7 separate regions of the Mus musculus genome follow, and regions 1, 2, 3, 5, 6 and 7 are each reported to be linked to region 4. Evidence: microRNA targets listed by miRTarBase, many of them from high-throughput screens and not tested one by one. Region 4 holds a microRNA gene; each other region holds the end of a gene's coding sequence.

What was found. The annotated mature microRNA mmu-miR-30e-5p reads UGUAAACAUCCUUGACUGGAAG and lies in region 4 at 912-933, opposite strand. An mRNA with a match to its seed (bases 2 to 7 or 8) in the 3' UTR can be bound and repressed. Matches are read on the target gene's strand: a 7mer-m8 pairs with bases 2 to 8, a 7mer-A1 pairs with bases 2 to 7 and ends in A, and an 8mer does both.
Region 1: miRTarBase lists Cep350 as a target of mmu-miR-30e-5p. Seed matches in the 3' UTR shown: 7mer-A1 at 1,593-1,599.
Region 2: the mRNA of Klhdc2 is a reported target of mmu-miR-30e-5p. Seed matches in the 3' UTR shown: 7mer-A1 at 599-605.
Region 3: miRTarBase lists Ptpa as a target of mmu-miR-30e-5p. Seed matches in the 3' UTR shown: 7mer-m8 at 2,412-2,418.
Region 5: the mRNA of Fnip2 is a reported target of mmu-miR-30e-5p. Seed matches in the 3' UTR shown: 7mer-A1 at 1,141-1,147 and 8mer at 232-239.
Region 6: miRTarBase lists Ppm1l as a target of mmu-miR-30e-5p. The part of its 3' UTR that is shown has no 7-base or 8-base seed match.
Region 7: miRTarBase lists Cd300a as a target of mmu-miR-30e-5p. The part of its 3' UTR that is shown has no 7-base or 8-base seed match.

The regions. Positions count from the first base shown.
Region 1 is chr1:155,845,894-155,848,988 of GRCm38, reverse strand. Cep350 (centrosomal protein 350) reads left to right here. Exons shown (of 38, transcript NM_001039184.1): 38 at 262-3,095. The coding sequence ends at 426. Among named protein-coding and RNA genes, the nearest start is that of Gm51652, 19 kb to the left of the region's middle.
Region 2 is chr12:69,309,842-69,312,841 of GRCm38, forward strand. Klhdc2 (kelch domain containing 2) reads left to right here. Exons shown (of 13, transcript NM_027117.3): 12 at 146-198; 13 at 312-846. The coding sequence ends at 435. Nemf (nuclear export mediator factor) reads right to left here. Exons shown (of 33, transcript NM_025441.3): 30 at 2,725-2,825; 31 at 2,584-2,627; 32 at 2,414-2,493; 33 at 1,702-2,239. The coding sequence ends at 2,162. Among named protein-coding and RNA genes, the nearest start is that of Klhdc2, 15 kb to the left of the region's middle.
Region 3 is chr2:30,445,879-30,448,973 of GRCm38, reverse strand. It overlaps Ptpa (protein phosphatase 2 protein activator), which reads right to left. Exons shown (of 10, transcript NM_138748.5): 10 at 1,167-2,597. The coding sequence ends at 2,520. Among named protein-coding and RNA genes, the nearest start is that of Ier5l, 27 kb to the left of the region's middle.
Region 4 is chr4:120,771,749-120,774,843 of GRCm38, forward strand. Mir30e (microRNA 30e) reads right to left here and starts at 949; the gene lies at 858-949. Nfyc (nuclear transcription factor-Y gamma) reads right to left here. Exons shown (of 10, transcript NM_008692.4): 5 at 1,924-2,019. Mir30f (microRNA 30f) reads left to right here and starts at 858; the gene lies at 858-949.
Region 5 is chr3:79,456,858-79,459,952 of GRCm38, forward strand. Fnip2 (folliculin interacting protein 2) reads right to left here. Exons shown (of 17, transcript NM_001162999.2): 17 at 1-2,884. The coding sequence ends at 2,806. It also overlaps a transcript of Gm17359 not described here. Among named protein-coding and RNA genes, the nearest start is that of Gm36442, 54 kb to the right of the region's middle.
Region 6 is chr3:69,552,527-69,555,621 of GRCm38, reverse strand. It overlaps Ppm1l (protein phosphatase 1 (formerly 2C)-like), which reads right to left. Exons shown (of 4, transcript NM_178726.3): 4 at 218-2,794. The coding sequence ends at 2,448. Among named protein-coding and RNA genes, the nearest start is that of B3galnt1, 45 kb to the left of the region's middle.
Region 7 is chr11:114,900,996-114,904,090 of GRCm38, reverse strand. It overlaps Cd300a (CD300A molecule), which reads right to left. Exons shown (of 7, transcript NM_170758.4): 7 at 2,145-2,962. The coding sequence ends at 2,801. Among named protein-coding and RNA genes, the nearest start is that of Cd300a, 13 kb to the right of the region's middle.

The sequences.
Region 1 (3,095 bases), not on the chromosome of region 4:
CATCTAAACTTGCTGCTTCTCTTTCCTGTAAGCTCCTGTGTGCACTCACTCGTGTTAACACAGACATGGGTTATAATCAGTCTATCTCTCTTATCTACAAAATGCTGGAATACCAGCATGTTCAAATGGAGCTATTTTAGTTTCGATGCTAATTTTAAAGGTGTATTGACATGATTTCTTTGGGACACATTGTACATGGGAGGTGTAAGTTCCTAGCTCTTGGGTGACAGGCTTGCTAACGTATTGCCTTCTAACATCCAGGTCCAGGAGCTGCACGAGGAGGAGGCACAGTGGGTGAACTATGATGAGGATGAGTTGTGTGTGAAGATGCAGCTGGCTGATGGGATCTTTGAGACCTTGATCAAAGATACTATTGATGTTCTCAATCAGATCAGTGAAAAGCAGGGGAGAATGCTACTTGTGTGACATCTTGCAAATAAATCGAACACTGAGTGCTAACATGAGTCCTGGGCCTTTCTGCCTTCTGATATACACCCCATCTCCACCATAGCAAGAATGCTTCTGGACCTTGAACCTGTTCTTATGGACTGCTGGTTTGGAGTTCATGGGACAATGTGGTATATCTGGTATTACAGCCTTTGCCTTTACAGACTGTCCACTGGATTACGTGGTTTTTTCCCGTGGGCAGGGCTATACTCTGATGCTGAGACTTGGTATCACCTCATTAGCACCCATACCTACTAGGTCTCAGATGAGGGCTGAGAACACCAGACTGACCTCTGAGCTTAGACAAAGCTTGAGTGTCCTCATGAGACTTGCGTCTCCGCAGGAAAGAGAGGTACATAGATTCTTCTTTTAACTTTCAAAACATAATCCTGGTCTATACAATGAAACTCACAAATGGACATGCTAGTCTCTGAACAGTATTAAACCCATAACCACTTTAAAATAGGCAAACGCAAGATTGTCTGCCTATTTTACATTCTGGAGTTTATTTCTTCTTGAAGACCATTTTCTTCCATTCTTGAAGTTAAGCAGCACCAAGTGGATGTCAGAAATAAGTGGGAGCTTTGCTTTGGGCACCACCTAAAAACTATAACCCATTGCACTGTGTTTAATTTTCCTGTCTGGGCAGAACCCAGTGAAGACGAGGCTCCAGGACTGCTGCGGGCTGTTCCTCCGCCCTGGTCCCACCCCTGCTCTCTCCTCATCTGTCCTAACCTCTACCAGCTGCTCTCAGAATCGTAGATACTCAGGACCATCTCAGGCATCCAGGCATGGCAAAAGTGGAAAGACCTCATTTTGGCCTTCAAACGTTGACTTCCCATCTCTCCCGCAGAAGTCAGTGCTGTTACTTGAATGAGTTAGAAAATGAGTGGCGCACCAAAGACAAGAAGATCCTGTCCAGAGTCTGCCTGCTTGTTTGGCTCTGTGGAATATTTTTAATTTATTTTAAGGTAAATTATTAAGTTGAAAATGTGTGTCCCTATTGAGAAGTGAAAGATTCTCATCATTGTAAACCTCCGTCTCGAAGCTTCTACAGTTTAATCTTCGCACAGGAAAGCTGCAGTTTTAATAAATCTATACACACACTGAAGAAGTCAGTTCAGTTCATCAAAAAGACAACAGACGTTTACACCGTCACCCGGGCAGCAGGACAGGACAGGACTCGAAAGACTAAAGTTTATCCTGCCTTTCTTGCAGCATTGCATCTTACAACCATTACCTGCATCTGAGGAACATCTCCAGACTCCAGCTGCTACCTTTGAGCACCTGGTGCTCTCCTGGGCCCTTAGCACCTGCCTTCTTGACTGGTTTCTCTTCATCAGTCCTGTCCTTCCTAATCCCAGGGAATGAGGATGATCTGAGGCGTGTGTGTAAATGCCTTAACCCTAACAGTCGCGGCTAGAACAGCATGGTAAGACATCCGCTGGGGTCACACTTACAGACACCCTGGACATTATGGCTTCAAAACACATTAGAAAACCCAAAGACAGCGTAACCCTTAAGTATGCACGTTTGTTCTTTTCTGCATCTTCCTTCCCTACTTGCCATTGCATCTCTGATGTCTCACTCTGCACACGTCACTCCTCTTGCGTTTCATCCTGTCATTACACAACATTTGCTGAAACCATCATTGGATATTTGCATTTTGCACAGTGACTGGTGTGCTAGCTCTTGACAATAAGAAAGCACTGAACTGTTCCAATTGGGTCTCCTGAATGCTCAGGTGGGTGTCTCATCAGCATCTCTTCTGTGCTTTTGCTGTTGAGCTGTCGTCTTTAGCCATAATGAGCAGGTTGACGAAGAGAAGAAAGGTTTCTCGAGGTTCTTAGTAGTGTGGAAATAGTTTTCATGTGGCCAATGAAAGCAAAGATAGTTCTCCTCAGTTTGTGTTCCTTAGGAGACAGGAGACATCTGTGTCCATCCCTTGACTGTTTGTAGGATCATATTGTCTTTATGAAACTGAACTTTACAGCTGCTATAAGTTTTTTTATAAATGAAAATCAAATTATAATAGGAATATAGGTTGTTTTCCATGTCTTCATTATTTGGACCTGAGGTTAATTTTTTAATAAGACAGTGTATCTTTTACTCTCTACATTATCATGCCAGAAAAGGAAAAACTTACTGCTGTAAGTCCATAGGCTCAGCGACCTGGACAGTGCCGAGATCGTGGCAGTGGCCGTCCTAACCTCCGCTAGCTGTCTTCACTATCCAAGAACCCTGCATTCCAGATGCGAGGCGGGAGTAAGCCAGTCTCCTCCTTTGCTAGCAATTACAGCTCCAGTTTGGTAGCAAAAACAAGTGAGTCTATAGAGTTAACAGGTTTCTTCCTATTTTAACTATTTGGATCTAACTGGGTGGGTTTACTGTTAGGGTCAGGAATGATGGATGTGGCTGCCCAGCCACTCACTCGGTCCACACTGGGGTCTTTTTAATGAAGCTCTGCCTCATAACCAAGAACCTAAGAATGCCCTCTTCCTAACTTTGCCCCTCCCCTACACCCGCGCCCTCCTGTCTGTCTGCATTGATTCCTCTAAACGATCTTTGCATCTGCAGTAATACCTTTTAGTATAGCACTGTCAGTACCTGGTAGTAAACCACCATGGAGGCTTCAGATTGACATCTGA
Region 2 (3,000 bases), not on the chromosome of region 4:
TCACTACTGACTGTAGGCCCAGCTCTGGTCCAGCTCTTGCCCAGTGCTCCTGCCTTTGCTACCTAGAGCTGAGGATACAGGAGTGAGTGTAGCACACCAGCCTGCTTTCAGCACTTGCATTTTACCTGTTCCTTCTTTTTTTCAGGCACACAGTAATGAAGTACTTATATTTTCAGTTCAACCAAAATCTCTTGTACGGTAAGTATTTGGCACCAGGTATATGACTATTTAAAGGCATTAGTCTTCATTCAAGTTATCTAGTAAAATTATCTATCTAGTAAAATTATTTTCACTTTCCTTGTCTACTTTAGGCTAAGCTTAGAAGCAGTCATCTGCTTTAAAGAGATGCTAGCCAACTCGTGGAGCTGCCTTCCAAAACACTTACTTCACAGCGTTAATCAGAGGTTTGGTAGTAACAACACTTCTGGATCATAAAGCTTTGTAGATAATACTTCTTCTGGTCCACTTGCATGGAGAACAGCCCCGTACTTGTCACACAGTGTCATCCTTTGTATAATTATATGCATCGTTGTAGTTTGCAGCTTCCTGGGTTTTATGTGCATGTGAATGGCCTAGAGAACCTATTTTTGTGTCTAAAGTTTACAATAAATGTATTTAACACCAGTACCTGTCTATTGTTAAAGTTAAAAAAAATTACTGTGTTGGCTTTTTTTTTTTTTAACGATTTATTTATGTATACTGAATGGTGTTTTCCTGCATGCCTGAGGGTGTTGGATTCCCTGGAACAGGAGTTACAAGCTGCAATGTGGGTGCTGGCAACTGTACGTGGGCCCTGTGGAAGAACAGCCAGTGCTCTTAACCCCTGAGCCATCTCTCCAACCCCTGCATTGACTTTTTATCCCACGTCTGGGTATAACAATTTTAACATTTATCTTTTGATAATGTGGATGTAATGTAACTGTAGAAATGTGAAGATGCTCCATCTGTATGTAGCCTTTAACCTTATGTAGCTAAGGCTGGTCTTGAATCAGTAACCCTCTATCTTCCGCCCCCTCAAGCACTGCAACTCAAAGTGTGCTGCCACCCTGGGTGTGTATGCTGGGGCGGCAGTGAGCCTTAGACAGCCCAAGCTGCAATTAATGCACTGCTCCAACCTTCAAGTGTTGGTGTAGTCCTGGGACATGTGATGGTCATGGCTACTACCCAGTTAACTAAAAAGTGGCAGCTTATACCTCATGAACAGAGAAATCATGTATGGCTTCATTCTCTATTCTGATAGGAGCCAGAAGAATACTGGTCCAGGAATCTTTAGTGATAAGCCTAAAAGCCAAAAAGCATCTTTGACCTTTCCCAGACTCCAGACAGTTTCTCTCTGTAGCTTTGGCTGTCCTGAGCTCAAACTCACAGAGATCTACCTGCCTCTGCCTCCCCAATGCTGCCAGCACCACCCAGCAAGAAAATGCACTTCTGTTATTACAGGTCAAGATACTTGAGCCCAGTGGTGGTGATGCACGCCTTTAATTCCAACACTCGGGAGGCAGAGGCAGGCGGATCTCTTGAGTTCAAGGCCAGTCTGGTCTACAGAGAAACCCTGACTTGGAAAAACCAAAATCACTTAAGACAGTTTTAACTCTTTGACAGCTGCTGGGGGTTGGGAGAGAAAATGGCAAACAACTGAGAGATATTACAAGGAAGAAGTTAGGGAGGAAAGTGATAGATATGAATACACGGAAACAACTGTCATTTTCTTGTGTTATTTTTTTTTGCATTTGATGTAAAATTTGGCAAAGTGTTCAAGACACAAATCTTAAATGTTTAATTGTTCCATTAACCAAACGAAACCTCTCGTGACTGGCTGTACTATGTATTAGATGTTATATACAGTAGACCACTACGTCAGTAGTTTATGCACTTGAGCTATTTCAGGGTCGTTACATCATGAAATGAAACCTCAAGAAGTTCAATAAAATGTAGAACAATACAATTACAGATGTGTATCATTAAGTTTTCACAAATATTTTAGGAAATACTATCATAGTTTATATAGATATATATAAAACTTGGGAAAAAATCTTAAGTCCTTTTGGTGATAGCAAGGCAGTATGTTCATTTGTAAAGTGGAAGTCCTGTTAACACGTCTGCATCGTTGACCTTCCAAAGGCTACAAACTGGCTGTTCAGTGCTGAGGCTCTCATCCCAGCTATTTCCTCTTCACATGCAGAAGATTAGGTGCGGACACTTTTACTTTTCCAGGAATGTTTCTTGATAAATCTGTGTCCTAAAACAAACAAACAAAAAGTACGTAATATTGTCATATCCTATTTAGGGTAATTACGTGTACTCTACTGTCAGGAGAAAGGCACTTACAGCTTTTGCCAAGTAAACCTACTTAGGGTCCTGGGGAGACAGCATTGTGTCAAGACAACAGACAAGAGCTGAAGGGAAACCTTACCTTCACACTTCGGAATAAGTCTTTTTCTCTTGCTGTGGCTTCTTTGGAGTGCATGAAACTGTTCAAGGCTGTCTTCGCAGCTGTAAGGAGAGCACACAAGAATGTACTTCTGGTTTAGTCACTAAACTATTTAAAAATCACACACACACAAAAAAAAACACCTAAATTACCTTTCCCCTTTTTCTGAACTCCAGGTGTAAGTTTCACTTTGTATCTTAAAAAAAAAAAAAAATTGTACCAGTTACTACATGGAGATCAAAGATTCCTAAAGCTACTTGGCAATGAGTATGAGCGAGACAACAGTGACTTACTTATAGTTTGTCATGATGGTGTAAGGGGCACATATTGGAATAGCAAACATCAGTACATCCTCAGGATGTGGCTGCCCTGTCAAAGAGTCAAATAGATTTTCCTAAAGGAGAAAGAAAATTATAAAAGGAATTTATGCCAAACTTGAAAAGAACAGTAGATGCTGGGGAGGGGTGCTGTTGAGTAGTAGAACCCTTGCCTAACATGCAATCTGTTCAGATCACACCATCATAAAGCCAAGATCTAAAACAACAAATCAGTTTCTGAATACTCTTAGC
Region 3 (3,095 bases), not on the chromosome of region 4:
CAGCCAGGGCTATACAGAGAAACCCTGTCTCAAAAACAAACAAACAAACAAACAAACAAACAAAAAAACAAAAAACAAACCAAACAAAAAAACCCAAAAAACAAAACAAACAAACAAAAAAATCCTTTATGCTTGGAAAGGATTCCAGCATTTGGAAGGCTGAGATCCACCATGCTAAATAAACCACAGTGCATTATGATGCCCGTTTTTCAGATAAAGAAACTGGAGCTCAGAGAGGTAAAATCAGCCATCATGGATTTCCTCCATTGTAAGCAGCTGGCCTTGGGTTTGAATTCAAGTGTGGTGGACACTGGAGACACGGCTTTGGGCAACCAAGGATGTAGCAAAGTGACCGAGCTGCGGCTCCTCTTCCTGCCTTTGTGCAAAGTCTCCAGGACAGCAGAAAGGCTCCCACTCATAGGCTCGCCTGGTGTCTAGGGAGTCACTGCCCAGCTGTACTCAGCCCTAGCATAACAGACCAGAAGGTGGGCTAAGGACAAAGAGGGCTACTTCTAACAAGGGCAGATGTAAGGTTCAATGTGAGCCTCGTCTTTGGGCCGGCAGGAGTGCAGAGCAGCTGTAGAAGGCTGACATCTGGTTCTTGTTCAGCCTGTGCCAGGTCCTAGGACCTGTGCCCAGCAGGTTCAGGAGACACATACACATCACAGTGACAACACAGCATGTGTTCTGAACCAGGTCTAGACTCAGGGTTACCAGTGCCACTTGTGATTATACCCATTTTCTAGATGAGGGTGCTGGGTGGGGTCCAGAGTAGCTCAGAAACCTACCCACAAACTTGCCATTAGGAGTGAGCCAGGGGGATGGCTGGGATTTGAACCCTCTTGCCTGCTTTAGTCATTGTCACATATCCCATCCCCAGAAAGTCAACTGGTAATGGGCTTTCCCAGGAGCCCAGGGCAGCTTTCATAGCTAGGCTATCCCCAGGAAGGGGAGTGTTATGTTAACAGTCAGGAAACCTAGCAAAGCCAAGGGCCAGGGAACAAAGCCAGCATGAAGATGGACACAGGTCCCCCAGGGCCTAGGATGGTACCTTGAGAAGACCAGCCTCATCATCCATGGCCCCTACAAACCACCCTCCTGAGGAACAAAACCACCTGCTGAGGAACAGTCACTCAGACATGTCAGGAAAAGATGTCTCACACAGGGGACAGGTGTAAAACAGAGGCTTTAATCCAAATAGCAAGGAAGGCGCAGGGCTGGGGACGCAGGGACAGGGAAGGGAGCCAGGAAGGCAGTGGCCTGGCCCTGGAAGGAAGCTGGCACTGGGCTTTTCCTGGGGAACTGCCTGTGACTCTGATGACTTCAATCCCCGCTCTGCCCAGACCATAGTTAATTCCTGGCCAAGCCCCTGAGTTGTGCTTCTCAGTGTCCACTCCACAAAGCTAAGCGGGCACAAACACAGGATGGGCAGTGAAGAAGGGCAGGCCCAAGTGGGACAGGAAAGCCTGCAGGTTCCAGTTCAGCCACACGCTGAGAGAAAACTGGTGACTGTGGCTAGGTCCCCTTAGCAGCCCTACCCATTCTGAGTCTATGCCTAGGCCCAGGCCAGCACTTCCCTCATCTCACAGAGGGAAGTGGGAGGAGGGGGCTGCTACCTTCTTTGCTCTCCCACACGAGCCACAAACCGACCCAAGGGAGCGGAGCAGCAAGCCAAGGCCTCGGGGGAAGCTTCAGACACTCAGCAGGCAGAGGCAGCAGAATCAGCAGGCCTGAGACTGACTGGAGAAAACTAGGTTCTCCACAGACACAACAGTCCTACTGCCTCCCGGAGTCTCTTCCTCTCCCTGCTTGACAGCTCTGGAAAGTCAGATCTCACCCAAGCAATGGGCTTTCCCAGGAGCCCAGGGCAGCTTCCATAGCTAGGCTATCCCCAGGAAGGGGAGTGTTATGTTAACAGTCAGGAAACCTAGCAAAGCCAAGGGCCAGGGAACAAAGCCAGCATGAGGATGGACACAGGTCCCCCAGGGCCTAGGATGGTACCTTGAGAAGACCAGCCTCATCATCCATGGCCCCTACAAACCAACCTCCCCCAACCCCAGCCCTCCCAACAGCTGATGACAGCCTCACCCTTCAGCTCCATAGCAGATACCCAGTGGAACACAGCTAGCGGGGAACCCACCAGCCGGCCCTGGAGGCACGGAACTCCTGCTCTTAATGAGGGAACCATTACATCATGGGGAGGAAAGGGGGAGCAATGACAAGAGCAGGGTGTCCTTGTCTCCTCCACATGGGCCTGACCGTGGGAGGAAGCAGGAGCACAGGGATGGGCAGGGCCGGGGACCACGTCCAGGCCCCTCTCTTCTTACTCGGCCACCAGACGGAGGACAGTCAAAAACTGGGCACACTGTGGTCAATTCCCCCAACTCAGGCCCTGCTTAGCACCCATCTCAGTAAACAGCCTCTCATCAAACAGAAAGAACAGAAGGTGGGCGGGAGGGGTGCTGGGTCACAGAGAGCACAGGAACCTGGCCAGGGTGGCTCTGGTAGTTCAGCCTCTCCTAGCCTGATGTGACGGGATGGATGGGCAGCAGGCTCCCGAACTTGAAGTGCTGGATCACAGGGAACTTCTCCAGGCACTGAGAAAGGAGGGGAAAACCAGGGAGGTGAGGCCTGTCTCGCCTCCTGCATCCCCAGTAACCCAGACAAACATGAGGTTTCCAACTGCAGCCACCTCCACGGGAATCCACCTGTGCTGGAGAGCAGCCCCCGGCCTAGGAGGAAGGTGATCTCGTTCACCTCATCCCCACCTCCCACTCAAAGGCACCCATACTCAGCAGAAGCCAAGACAGGCAGCTAAGAGACATCACTTGACCCAGAAGGGATGAGCCATAAGAAATGACAAAGGTCCCCCCACCCCCACCCGAATCCTGACCCTAGCAGTATAGGGACATCTGAACACAACTGAGAAGAGGCTAGGGCCTACTTTCTGTAGTCTTTGGCCTCAAAGACATCTTGACTCTTCAGAGTGAGACAACAGGAGTGGGCTGACACTCCTGCCCTACCTTGGCAGCAGCCTCTATGGAGCTCGTGGCTCGTGGCTCCCTGAGCCCAGGCCCACAGGCTCTAGCTTTGCC
Region 4 (3,095 bases):
CTCAAACACCTACAAAGAACTAAAACCAGGCAGCTAAAGGAGTGTTCTTGCTGTATACCTTTTAAAGGGAGATGGACTAAGTATAGTGGTCCATGCCTTGAATCCCAGCACTCAGGAGGCAGAAGCAGATAGATCTCTCCGAGTTCCAGAACAACCTGGTCTACACAGTCTAGTCTAGCCAGGGATACACAGGGAGAGCCTATCTCAAAAATCCAAACCAAACCAAAGAACAAAAGAGGGAGATGGGGTAGACCACCAGCAAATCTAACACCCTGACAGACCCAGAAGAACAAACAACTTTGGAGGAAGGTATAGGTCAGCAGCTCTCAACCTGTGGGTTGTGACCCCTTTGTGGGATGGAAAGATCCTTTCACATGGATCACCTAAGACTACTGAAAAACAGATAGTTGCATTAAAATTCATAACAGTAGCAAATTACAGTTATGAAATAGCAATGAAAAAAATTTTATTGTTGGGAGGTTATTACAACATGAGGAACTGTATTAAATGGTGCAGCATTAGGAAGGCTGAGAACCACTGGTATAGGATAATAACTTTCTCTTTAGTCATCTATTCAGCAGGCAGCCCATAGTGAACAATCAGTACAATAAGAGCAATGCCTGACTGCATCACAGATCTTACCACCTTGTCTTTAAAGGAAACTCCTGGTGGATACATGGGAGCAAAAATCCAATAAGGAAAACAGGCTCATGGTATTATCAGCTCCAAACGAAGAGAGACAGTCTGAGTTCTTGTGACTTCTCAGAGAGAAAGGAAGTAACCCAAGAAAAGGAGACAAGTTCATGGGCACAAACCTGCAATGTCTCAAAGCCGATGAGCGCAGCCGGGGACGACTGTGGCAGCCTGCCGCTGTAAACATCCGACTGAAAGCTCCTCTCAACACCTTACAGCTTCCAGTCAAGGATGTTTACAGTAGCAAAGACTGCCCAGAAAAATAAAGAGCTTCAGTGAGGCACAACCTGCTCCCATAAGGAGGTGACCCAGGGCTTGCTAACCCAAAAACCCTCATGCAGGGTCAGAATTAATGTCAATTAGGATGCCCACTTCTCCAACAGGTTTTCTGACTGGTTATTTGTACAGGTCAACATGGGGAGAATGGTTGTCATTAAATGACTCTAAACAGTATACTACAAAATAATTAGTTAAAAACACTTATATTTTATGAACAAAAATAAAACAAGCAGGACATGGTATGGCTTTACTTCTCTGAGGCATATTACACTAAACCTAGTGAATCATGCAAACTGCGTGCCTGAAACAATGAGCTCTATAGGACTGGGGTCTATCACAATCACAACTAAGTTATATGCACCCAAGTGCTGAACAAAACAAATGGTGTGATCTTTGGAGATGAACAGGCAGAAGAAGGGCAGACACTTAGTTCTTGTAATTAAAAAGAAAAATGTAAATGGTGGTTCTAAAACTTCACTGGACACCAAAGCATCTAGGGAACTTTAATTATTGATTCCTGGGGTCATGGGGTCATAGGTTCTGACTCAGTGGATGATGGGTAGAGTCATCACACTACAGAGACACAGCATAGAGTAAGAAAATAAAAGCCACTGGCTCCAATCTGATCACTATGCACAAAGAGGTTGTTTCTTAGAATCTGAAAACTGACTGGCTGAAAAAGCTTTTATTTTAGATGAAGAAATCCTGAACTGAGCTTCACCCCACTATCTGTGACTAGTCTTTTTAACTTTGTTCTCTCACTGCAACCCCACCCCAGAGGCACTGAGTTAAAAGTACCCATAAATGAGTAGAAGGAGATGCTGAGGATGATCTGGACTACGGAAGAGAACCACAAACAAGAAATGCTTTGGGTGGGAGGGAGGGAGGAGCTCCGGAGAGCATCTTGCCCAGGCCCTGGAGGTGGCAGCTGAGCAAATCCTCCCAGCTCACCTGGCGCTTTGGAGGTTTCAGTTCATCTCTTGGAACAATATCGATGAGAAAGTCGAACTGATCAAATTTTGTAATTGCCATGGCAATATCATTCCTCTGTAACAAAGAAAAACAAAGTTAAAAACTGGCCTAGGAAGAATCTAGTTCTTTTGGCTGTTATCCTTCAAGTAAAAGGACATGATCCTCTCCTATCCCCTAGTCCCAGTGTCTGGGATTAAACCTAGAGCTTTACACAAGCTAGACAGGTATTCTACCATTGAGCTATGCCCCAGCCCAAGGAGATGACTTTTAGACTGTACTAAAAATCTCTAGGTTTGTCTAGAGCTAAAAATAAGAACAGCTCAATTTATATCAGACTTGCTGGACAGAAATCAACGAAAGAGATACACATATCTCGTGCTCTAGGCCAGGACATCTGAGCCCTACTCACCACTATTTCTGCTTGTTCTGGTTTCAAAGCTTCCATAAAGTTGTAAAACCACCATCCTCTGGCTAATTCAGGACAAAGCCAGCAGTCTCAACTGGCATTCTGTGGTCCACAAGGTCAGCCCATCATTCACTTGTATGATCTTTTTAAAGGCCCTAAGCACTGTTTGTTGTTGTTGTTGTTGTTTTTCTTTTTACAGGCACTTATAATCCAGTCGCTTGATTTTTATGTTACCTATGGGTTTTAGTTTAGAAATCAAAACTGCACTGCTTAATGAATAGTTTAATCCGAATTTGAGCCTGAATACTCAAGCCTGAATTTACTATAGGTAGGTAGTGAACACAGAGCTGAAAAGAATGTCACAAGTGGACTTTCTCTTCAAGTCTGATATTATTCCCCTTCCTTTGAATAATAAAAATCAACACTTTTTCTCCCATATGATTTGTGTACTTTATTGAAAGTTTTAAGGTTAAAAAAACAAAAACAAAACCACTAAGCTCAAGTGAGTGATATAGTTAAGTATATATGGGAAAGTAATTTTTGAAATGTATTTAAAAATAGATCACTTTATGGCTGAAGTGAGAGGTATGATAAATTTGTTTTTCTTACTTTATTTATTTATTCATTCATTCATTCATTCATTCATTCATTTCCCCCCTTCCCTTCTTCCTCTTGCTCCTGGGCCCCACTTGCTCCCGGGACCCACTCACTCCAGTCCATAGGTTTTTTTGTTGTTTTTGTTTTT
Region 5 (3,095 bases), not on the chromosome of region 4:
TGTGCATCCAAGGAAAACTTCAGACGCTTAAAAGAATCTGAGAGTTGTTTTATATTCTCTATGTACATCCAACCAATGAAGAACCTAAAAAGCTACAGACTAGTTTATAAAATCCAAAGACCTGATTCTTAAGAGTCCAGACAACAGTTTAGTATCATTTAGCAAGTGGGGAATTTCCTCCCTCCAAAAAAGTTAATTCTGAAAAACACATTAAGTTAAAAATTTGCGATGTGTAAACACAGCTCCGTGAGTGAGATCATGAGTTACTTCCCGTATAAAACAGCACACGTCTGGAAAATGGGCTGAAGCTGTACAAAAGCTATTTAACACTGATAAAATAAGATACTTTGGAATTATGCACAAGTGTGGAAGCTACATTTTAAATTTTCATTGTCCTTTTTGAAAACATACACAATTGCCTATACATTCATATCACTTATCAACTTAACAAATATAAAACTGCAACATGCTAGAAGAGGTCATTACAGGACACTGAGACACTTCTGCTCGGCTGTGCCTCGCCAGCCTGCTTGGTCAGACAAGCAGAGCGCTGCCCAGTGACACCTAACAGGTAAGACTGAAGAGCTGAAGAAACCCTAGGGCAGGTGGAATCCTGTCAACTGAGGTAGATTTCTTTAAACATTAAAAAAAGATTTTTCCCCTTGAGTTATGCCTAGGTGGGACACCTTTTCGGACTCTTCGGCTATGACAGAATGACAGCATCCGCGTCAGCACAGGTCCATGAGATGCTTTGTTTACTGTTTTCCCCGCCTCTGAGAAGAGGATGAATTTAAGACAAAGGACACGTCATCGTCATCGCCCGCACCGGGGGAGCCAGGAGAAGAGCAGCGCATCTTTCTTGCAAGTGATGGTGGGGCGCTGAGATAACCCACGTGAGCCCAGGGTTTCCCACTTTTCTTCTGAAATTTGGAACACTAGATTAAGAGGCAGGTTTAATTTTTTTCAGGCTTTGAAGTGCTGGGCTAAGTCTTTCTTCATGAAGCTGAGAATTAACCTGGTGACAGCTCAATTCCCCGAGTCTAGCTGTCAACATGTCACTACATCTGCACGAGGACCAAACTGATTCTGTACTGAGCTATTTTCTCCCAATCCTCAGGAGCTGGTGAGGCCGAGTCCATGTGTAAACGAGAGAAGCCAGGAGAAAGAAGGGCGAGCTCTAAGCTGGCACCGGTGTCTAGGAAATCTGCATTGACAGCTCAGCGGGCCACATGTGGGGCTCCCTGGCAAACAATGGTACCATGGAGCCAGGAAATGGAAAACAGCAAACAAATGCCAGGTGATAGAAAGTGGAAAGAGATGTAAAAGAATAGGACACTTCAACTTTGTGAAACACAAAAATGCAAATTAAAGATCTTAAGGGCCTGGAAGAACCACCTATTTTTACATATCACAAAAAATGAGAGATGCTCAGGGCGAGAGGGGGAGGAAGAGAGGAAAGGGAGGGAGGGGGTCCAGAGCGTCCACACTCCGGCCCACTTCTAAGAGATGATGTAGGCATTCGTCCCCAGTAGCGTAAGGGGCACATGGTCTCCACTAACTTGTATTTGTAATGAGGAGACAGACATGTCACATGGATCAGGATTTGCTGTCCCACATTCTCAGGCACCAGGGACTGGTGGGAAGGACTGAGGAGCCCACAGGGTTTGACTTTACTTGACTGGCTCCTGTCTTTTAAACAGCAGAAGTTTTGTTTTTAAAGTATTTGAACATGGACTGTCTTATGGTCAGTAAACTAAGGTTCTGTAGGTTCAATGATCAGTTGGGTTTTTACAGTTCGTCACTTTGGTAAGTTTTACAAATGGTCAAGTTAATTTCTAGAAAGATTTTTTTTTAAAGAATATGAGAGGGATTAAAAAGTGCAGAACTGATCATATAAAAACCTAGATCGCTTGTGGATCACATAAATGTTCGGGCTGCCTGCTATCCTTATCAGAGCAAGTCCACTCCCCAGCTGGCAGCGGCCCCATACAGCACAAACAGACATCTGCACAGCCGGCTAGGAAGAAAGAGGCTTGCGCTGGGCGAGCTCAGCCACAGAAGATCGCCTGAGCTCATGGAAACAACTTTGGTAAAAGGTCTTTCTGGAGAAGGCTAAAGATACTAAAGCCAGAGATGAGTTCCCAGTGCCAGACTACGTCCTCCAAAATACCCGGCAGGACAGGGTGCTACACTGAGTCCCTCGCAGACCTGCAGGTGGCTGTGCTGAGTCTACAGGAAGCTCTGAGAAGTGACAACCGTGGGTTTCTGGAGCACTCTCTTCTCAATAGGCAACCCTCTTCCACATCCTATGTCCAACAGTAGCTGCTGGAGCTCCAGGCTGACAGTGGCACAACATGGCTTTCTTCAGGTCAATGTTCGTAGAAGAGCTCTGACCTAGAAGCCACAACCCGTTCTTAGAGCAACTCTTCATGCTCTCTCACGCTTGAACAGGAAACACTTTCCTTCTGGAATGTTCTAGACATTGGTTACCCACTACTCAGAGTCAGCCCTCAGTATTCTACCCAACAGCATGGGCACGTCTGTCTAGTTTGACAGTGTTGCTTACACTTCCCTCCTGCCAGAAAGGTTACTTTCTTTTGATTCCTGGGAGACAATGTCGACTGTTCCTGAACAATCACAAACTCCCACTGCATGGAGTAGACACAAGCTTCCCAATGTAAGAGCCACTAGGCAGCAGCCACAGGAACAACGAGGGGTGCCTGCTCCGTGTTCTCACGCCTCTGCCGTCACTGAGAGCACCCTCCATCCTGTCTCATTTTCCAATGAGAGCTGTCCTGTAGTCGGCTATAAGAGGATCTGTGCCACGTACGGAGAGTGAGTGCTGGCGATGGCCGTCAGCAGAGGCAGGTCATTGGATTCGATCCTGAGTGTTGAAAAATTCAAGGAGAGTATGTTAAAACTGCATCATTTCATAAGAAAGTACTATGTCTAGGCACCAGCTTCTGGTCTAGCTTTTAAACTAATGAAAATGTAAAACAGGGACAGCAAGAGGGGCTTGGCTGGTAAAGGTACTGGCTGTCAAGGCTGATGATCTGAGTTTTGTCCCTGGGGCTCACATGATGAAGGAGAGAGAG
Region 6 (3,095 bases), not on the chromosome of region 4:
GCTGCTAGAGAAGGGGAGTGGCCAGAGCACCCAGCCCACACCAAACTGTAGACTCCCCACAGCTGAACACAGGTCAGGAGGGGACAGAGAAGAGCTACTCTGGCCTTATGTGTAACTACTTATCAAAATACTACCATTTTGCCTAGAATTTCTATCTTTAAAAAAGTCTACAAGCCACGGGAGGGGGGAAGAGGCAAGAAAGGAGTGAAATATATTCTTTTTTTTTTCCTATTTGGTTAAATAAGTTACTTCTGCAAAGCAAAATGTACAAGATCTATAAATCAAGATCAAATGTACAAGATCGATCTATAATATCTATATCTATAAACCTCAGTTAGAAGGCTCTGGAACTAGGGGGGTTCAGCAATGCTGGTTAAGAAACCCTGCTTGCTCAAGGAGTACCAACCAACTAACTTGGCAGTTTTCTTTTTTTCTTCACCCAAACATTTGTGTCTCAAATTTATTTATTTTTTTCCTCTTGTTATATACTTTTGTGTTAAGCAAATACAGAAGGGAAGTTGACTGTATAGGCTGTTGAGTCTGGACCTTTAGTTAGAAGATGGGTTTTGGGTACTCTCTGGTAAGAGCATCCTAAGCCAACAAGCTCATCCCATCACTGGTTAAACCCACACCTGACTTCTCTGTTCCCCACCCACCTAACCCATAATACACACCCATCAGTGCACGTCTCTCCACAATCAATGCTTCTGTCTAACATGATAGAATGTGTTTTGTACTAAAACATTCTGAGAAGCAGAAAAGACCCTAATTCCAATGTTGAAAACACAAGATACAAAAGTAAGCAGATTTCCTGGGAAGCCATTATTAATTCTTGATGCAGCCAAAGGAAAGCAAGTTCCCAGAGGAATCCAGACAGTTTGCAGTCCTCAGAGTCCAAGTCTTTCATTCTCCAGACTCGGCTTCCTACAAGCTCTGCAGCTGAAGGAGAGGGCCGGGGTAGGGAGAGCTAATGAGCAGGGCTTGAGAAGTCATGCCGACACACAGCCTCTCTGAGAGAACAAAACAAGGCCGGCTCTGGTGTAGGTCTGCAATGAAAATCGTGGCTCTTTGGGGCTGGTTCAATCAGCAAACAGGACAATCTAATATGTCCTATAAATTAACTTACAAAGTACAGAGACTGGGAAAAAAACCCCCACAACTTTGGTGTTAGTAAGGGAAGAGCAGTAATCTAGGCCCCAAATAACTCTGCTGCTTATCTCTGAGGGTTCCTGCTTGAACTCCCAACCAGTGCACACAGGTCCCCAGGAGCCAGTCTGCTCTTTCCCTCCAGGTCACAGCAGACAGTTCCTATTTGCCTGGGTATGGACAGAGATTTGCAATTGACCATGAAAGGTCTTTCTCTTGCCAGGAAGCACGTCCCAGTAGTTTGCGCCCCGATACCAACTTGTGGTGGTAGCTGGGAACAGCACCCGTGGGTGATTCTAGGTTGCTGTTTCTCCCACCTCTGTTTGAAAGGCATGAAAGCTACTAGGTAGGGTGGGCTTGGGAAGGGCTGTGCAGAAACCAGCAGTTGGTGAGTGTGACTGGTGACCCCAGGACTCCTGCCTTCCTCTCCAGTGCAGACAGCAATTTTCAAAAGGTCATGGAGAACCATCCCAGCCTAATTCCTCCTTGAAGATGGAAGGGCATACTGTACTGCGATGTGCTTTCCGTCCTGCTTCCTCCCCTCTCTGGGGAGTCTTGGTGAGGGGAGACAAAAACTCACGTCTCACGGTGAGGTCAGCGGCAGCCCTCGATGCATCGTAAGGTGTGAACAAATGGCGAGGCTGCACTCCATGAGAGGCGTAAGGGCTGGCTAACTGCATCCCGACTCTACTGAACTAATGAAGGAAGCGAGCGGAAGCGGGGAGGTCTGGCGTGCAGGAAGCTGCACTGGCTTCCCAACTCTCAAGTCTCTAAGAGCAGGCAACAAATTACAAAGTGTTGCATGTCTCCTTCCAGGATGCTGGAGTACTGAAGACCAAGACTCAGAAGGGGAGAGCATTTCTGAGGAAACTGCTTCAAGGCAGAGGGCATGGCCACCTCATTGTCATGGTGAAGTGTTGGCATCACCAGCTTGCCCTGCCCAGGTTCAGAGAGGACGCCAAGTCAGGTCCCTGAAGGACCACAGAAGAGATCATGAAAAGTACATTATTAAGAAGGAAAACATATGGCCTGCCTTTCCTTTGCCTCATATGTGGGATCTGTGGCTACCTATGTATGTGTTTCAAACACTGATAGAAGGGCTGGGGGGACACAAACTTAGCAGCCTCTGCGGTGTCAGCAAGGGAACCCTCTGCTCAGTACTCCAAAGGGATTCAAGGCCATCAGGGAAGGGGGTTCTGTGTTGGGACGCATGATCCTAATTATACCCACACCTTTTACTACATGAAGAGAACAGTATGTTGAGAGTCCTCTAGTTTGGGGCAGCTGAGATCTGGCAGGGTTCAGTGCTCTTCTGTTTTGCTACTATTCCTGAACTTCACCACCATGACAGTGATGTTGTCAGGGCAGCCTCTGTAAAAGGACTGCAGGACGATGCTTTTGGCCCCAAAGTGGGGCTCATCCAAGCGCTCCTTGATGAATCGAACCGCTTCTTCATTGCTGAAAGCATCCCACAGGCCATCTGAGGCCAAGATCATGAACTCCGGCTGCAGCTTGTCCAGGTCAAAGGTCAAGATGTCTGGGTCTGGGATGACCACGTTGAGATTTTTCAGTGGATAGTCTCCCAGGGATCGAGACATGGCTAGGATTCCCTGGACCCTCCAGGAGCCATTAAAGCTGATGAACCCACCTGGAAAGACAGAGGGAGCCTGTTAGCTTGTTCCGGTCTGGGTGAGTGTACCACAAGCTGGTCTGCTGCAACAGAGCTGAGCCACAAGCACCCCTCCTTCACCTTCGTCACTGCCAAGGCCACCAGCATCTTGCTGTAGGGCCTGGAGTGGAATTTCATGCTCTCATCCTTGGCAGTGCTAATGCTTACAATAATATTAAGGGTAGAGTATGGGTGGAGACAGAGCTTTAATAACACTCTGTGGCAGCTCAGTGATTGACAGCATGTAGCTTCAGCATGTGGGTTTGAAGAGAGTGGCAAG
Region 7 (3,095 bases), not on the chromosome of region 4:
CTATATCCCTGTAAACACAAAAGTCTATGTGGGGCAGGGGTTTTGTCCTATGCTTCCCTGTTTCCAGTCTTCTGTCTGTTGTGAAGCAGGTCCCTAAATGCTCTGCAGGGAGTGTATGAAATATGGAATGGATGGACAGATGGATGGATGGATAGATGGATGGATGGATGGATGAATTGATGGGTGGGTGGATAGATGGGTAGGTGAGTAAATAGATGGGTGGGGTGGATGGTGGATGTGTGGATGGATGAGTGGGTGGATAGATGGATGGCTGGGTGGGTAGGTGGGTAGGTGGATGGATGGATGGATGGATGGATGGATGGATGGATGGGTGGATGGGTGGATGGATGGGAGGTTGGGAGGATGGACAGTTGGATGGGTGAGTAGGTGAGTGAATAGTTGAATAAATGGGAGAATGAAGGAAGGAATGAAGAGATTAATGAAAGATGCCCTTGGGCTGATCTGGCCCAGGCAGCAGGAAGAGGAAACAGATGAGGAGAAGAAAGTGAAGGAAGAGACATGTCCATAGGTGATGAAAACTGCCTCTGACTGGGCACTTGGGCCACCCACAATGAGTGACTCACACTGGGAAGCAGGGCTCCCCTTTCCCTACCCATCCCTCCTAGTTGGCAGTCTAATTTAGTCACCCAACTAAACCTTTGTGTCCGAGCTGTTCATGGGCGTAGCCCTCTATTTTTGGCCACAGCATCCCTACTTCCCCTCTTAAGACTCTTAAGTCCCATCTGCGCGTCCCAGTGCCCACTGCTCTTTCAAGAGAAAAGAACCACTGGTGGGTTTGGGGTTATGGCCTGGGACAGAGCTGAGAGCAGATCAGGGCTCTGTTTGCTGTACCCATAGTCCCTACTGTCCTGACACATTTCCCACACACCGTGGAACCTGGCTTTGGGCGTGTATCCATCCGTGTATGTGTGTTTCCCCTTTTATGTCTCAAAACATTAGTACAAGAAGGGGGGATGAGTCATGGGTGTGCATACCACGAGCACATGCACAGGCGGAGGAGGGTGGGGTACATGAACTGAAATCTAAAGGATTCAGGCTGGAGAAGAAAGCCCTTCCTGCCATGATGATAATGGACTGAACCTCTGAACTGTAAGCCAGCCCCAGTTAAATGTTTTCTGCTATAAGAGTCACCTTGATCATGGGGTCTCTTCACGGCAATAAAACATTAACTAAAAAGTCATCCTTGACCACACAGCAAGTTCAAAGGCTAATCTGGGCTATAAAGAATCCCGTCATTTGTTTGTTTGTTGACACAGGGTTTCTCTGTGTAGCCCTGGCTGTCCTAGAACTCACTCTGTAAACCAAGCTGGTCTCAAACTCAGAGACCTGCCTGCCTCTGCCTCCCAAGTGCTAGGATCAAAGGTGTGCACCACCACCCAGCAAGAATTCTGTCTTTAAAAAAAATTCAAAGAAGTCACAAATAGCCATCATCCTACCACTCTGGGGGCAGCTTACCCTAGGAGTTGCTTCTGGCACAGTGTTAAGAGTTGTAAGAAGTGGCTGGAGAGATGGCTCAGTGGTTAAGAGTACCGACTGCTCTTCCGAAGGTCCTGAGTTCAAAGCCCAGCAACCACATGGTGGCTCACAACCATCCGTAATGAGATCTGAGGTCCTCTTCTGGTGTGTCTGAAGACAGCTACAGTGTACTTAGATATAATAATAAATAAATCTTTAAAAAAAAAAAGAGTTGTAAGAAAAATCATTTGGGCAGATCAAACCATTGGTAGCTACTGCAGCCTGGAAACACAGTCATCTTTGATGCAAGTTTAAAATCACCCTGGTAAGAAAACACTCTTGTGTGTTCCATCAAGAACAGCAGTTGGTATGTCCTTCCCAACCCCTTGAACCCCAAAGGCTCCTCTGACTTCAAAGCTGGGCTTTAATAGGGGGCTACAGGCATGTAACAGACATCATTTAAACCATTTCTTCTCCCTTTAAAAAGGTATTTTAGGGCTGGAGAGATGGCTCAGTGGTTAAGAGCACTGACTGCTCTTCTGAAGGTCCTGAGTTCAAATCCCAGCAACCACATGGTGGCTCACAACCAAACATAGTGAGATCTGATGCCCTTTTCTGGAGTGTCTGAAGATAGCTTCAGTGTACTTACATATAATAAATAAATAATCTTTTTTTAAAAGATATTATAAACTTTATTTCATCTTTTACTTAAGAATTCAGAGAAGCCAGGCATTGTGGCACACACCTTTGGAGGCAGAGGCAGGCAGATCTTTGTGAGTCTGAGGCCATTCTGGTTTACAGAGTGAGTTCCAGGACAGCCAAAGCTACACAGAGAGACCCTGTCTCAAAAAACAAAAAATAAAAATAAAAATGAGTCCAGAGGAATTTGCCCCTGACCTTGGTGCCACGGGCCAGGCTTTTGTCCTCAGAGCTTAGGTTTTTTTCTCTGTGAGATGAAGGAGTTGGTGTTTAGTACCTCCATGACTCCCCTTCCTTTGTAGTCTCATGGGTCCCCCACTTTCCCAGTGACCACAGATGTTCTTCCTGGACTGACACTACAAAGCTAACTAACACAAGTACCGTTCTATACGAACCATGTCAATTCCCAGAGCCCCAAAAGAGCAGCATCGATGTCTTCCACACCCAGAGGCAGAACAAAATACAGGCTAAGAGGAGAGAGCCAGTGGGATGAGACTGTGCCCACAGAGCCCTGGCTCCTGCTCATCTTTAGTGAAGCCACTGAGGCTCATGACATTGAGGGCAGCAGCCAGCAGGGAGCCTTGGAACCTGGTAGTCACCACTGAGAGGATCAGGTGACAAGGAGTCACAGGTAAAGGTCAGAGAGTCCTTTTCTGGGCTTCTGGATCTCACTGTACTCTGCTTTCTGGTCCTGAGGTTGATGAAGAGAATCTCCATTGGCGTGAGAATCCTGCCTCTGGGAGTTGAATGCCACGGATGAATAGTGAAGCTCTTCCTGGGGTAATGCCTGTAGAGAGAGACCCCAGACTCATGGCTACAGGAGAAGGGCACATACCCTGGACCTCAACTGCCTCATTGGCCCACCTGGTCAAGCCACAGTGGGAAGTACCCATGCTGGGTATATCATGGCCAGCAGAAGT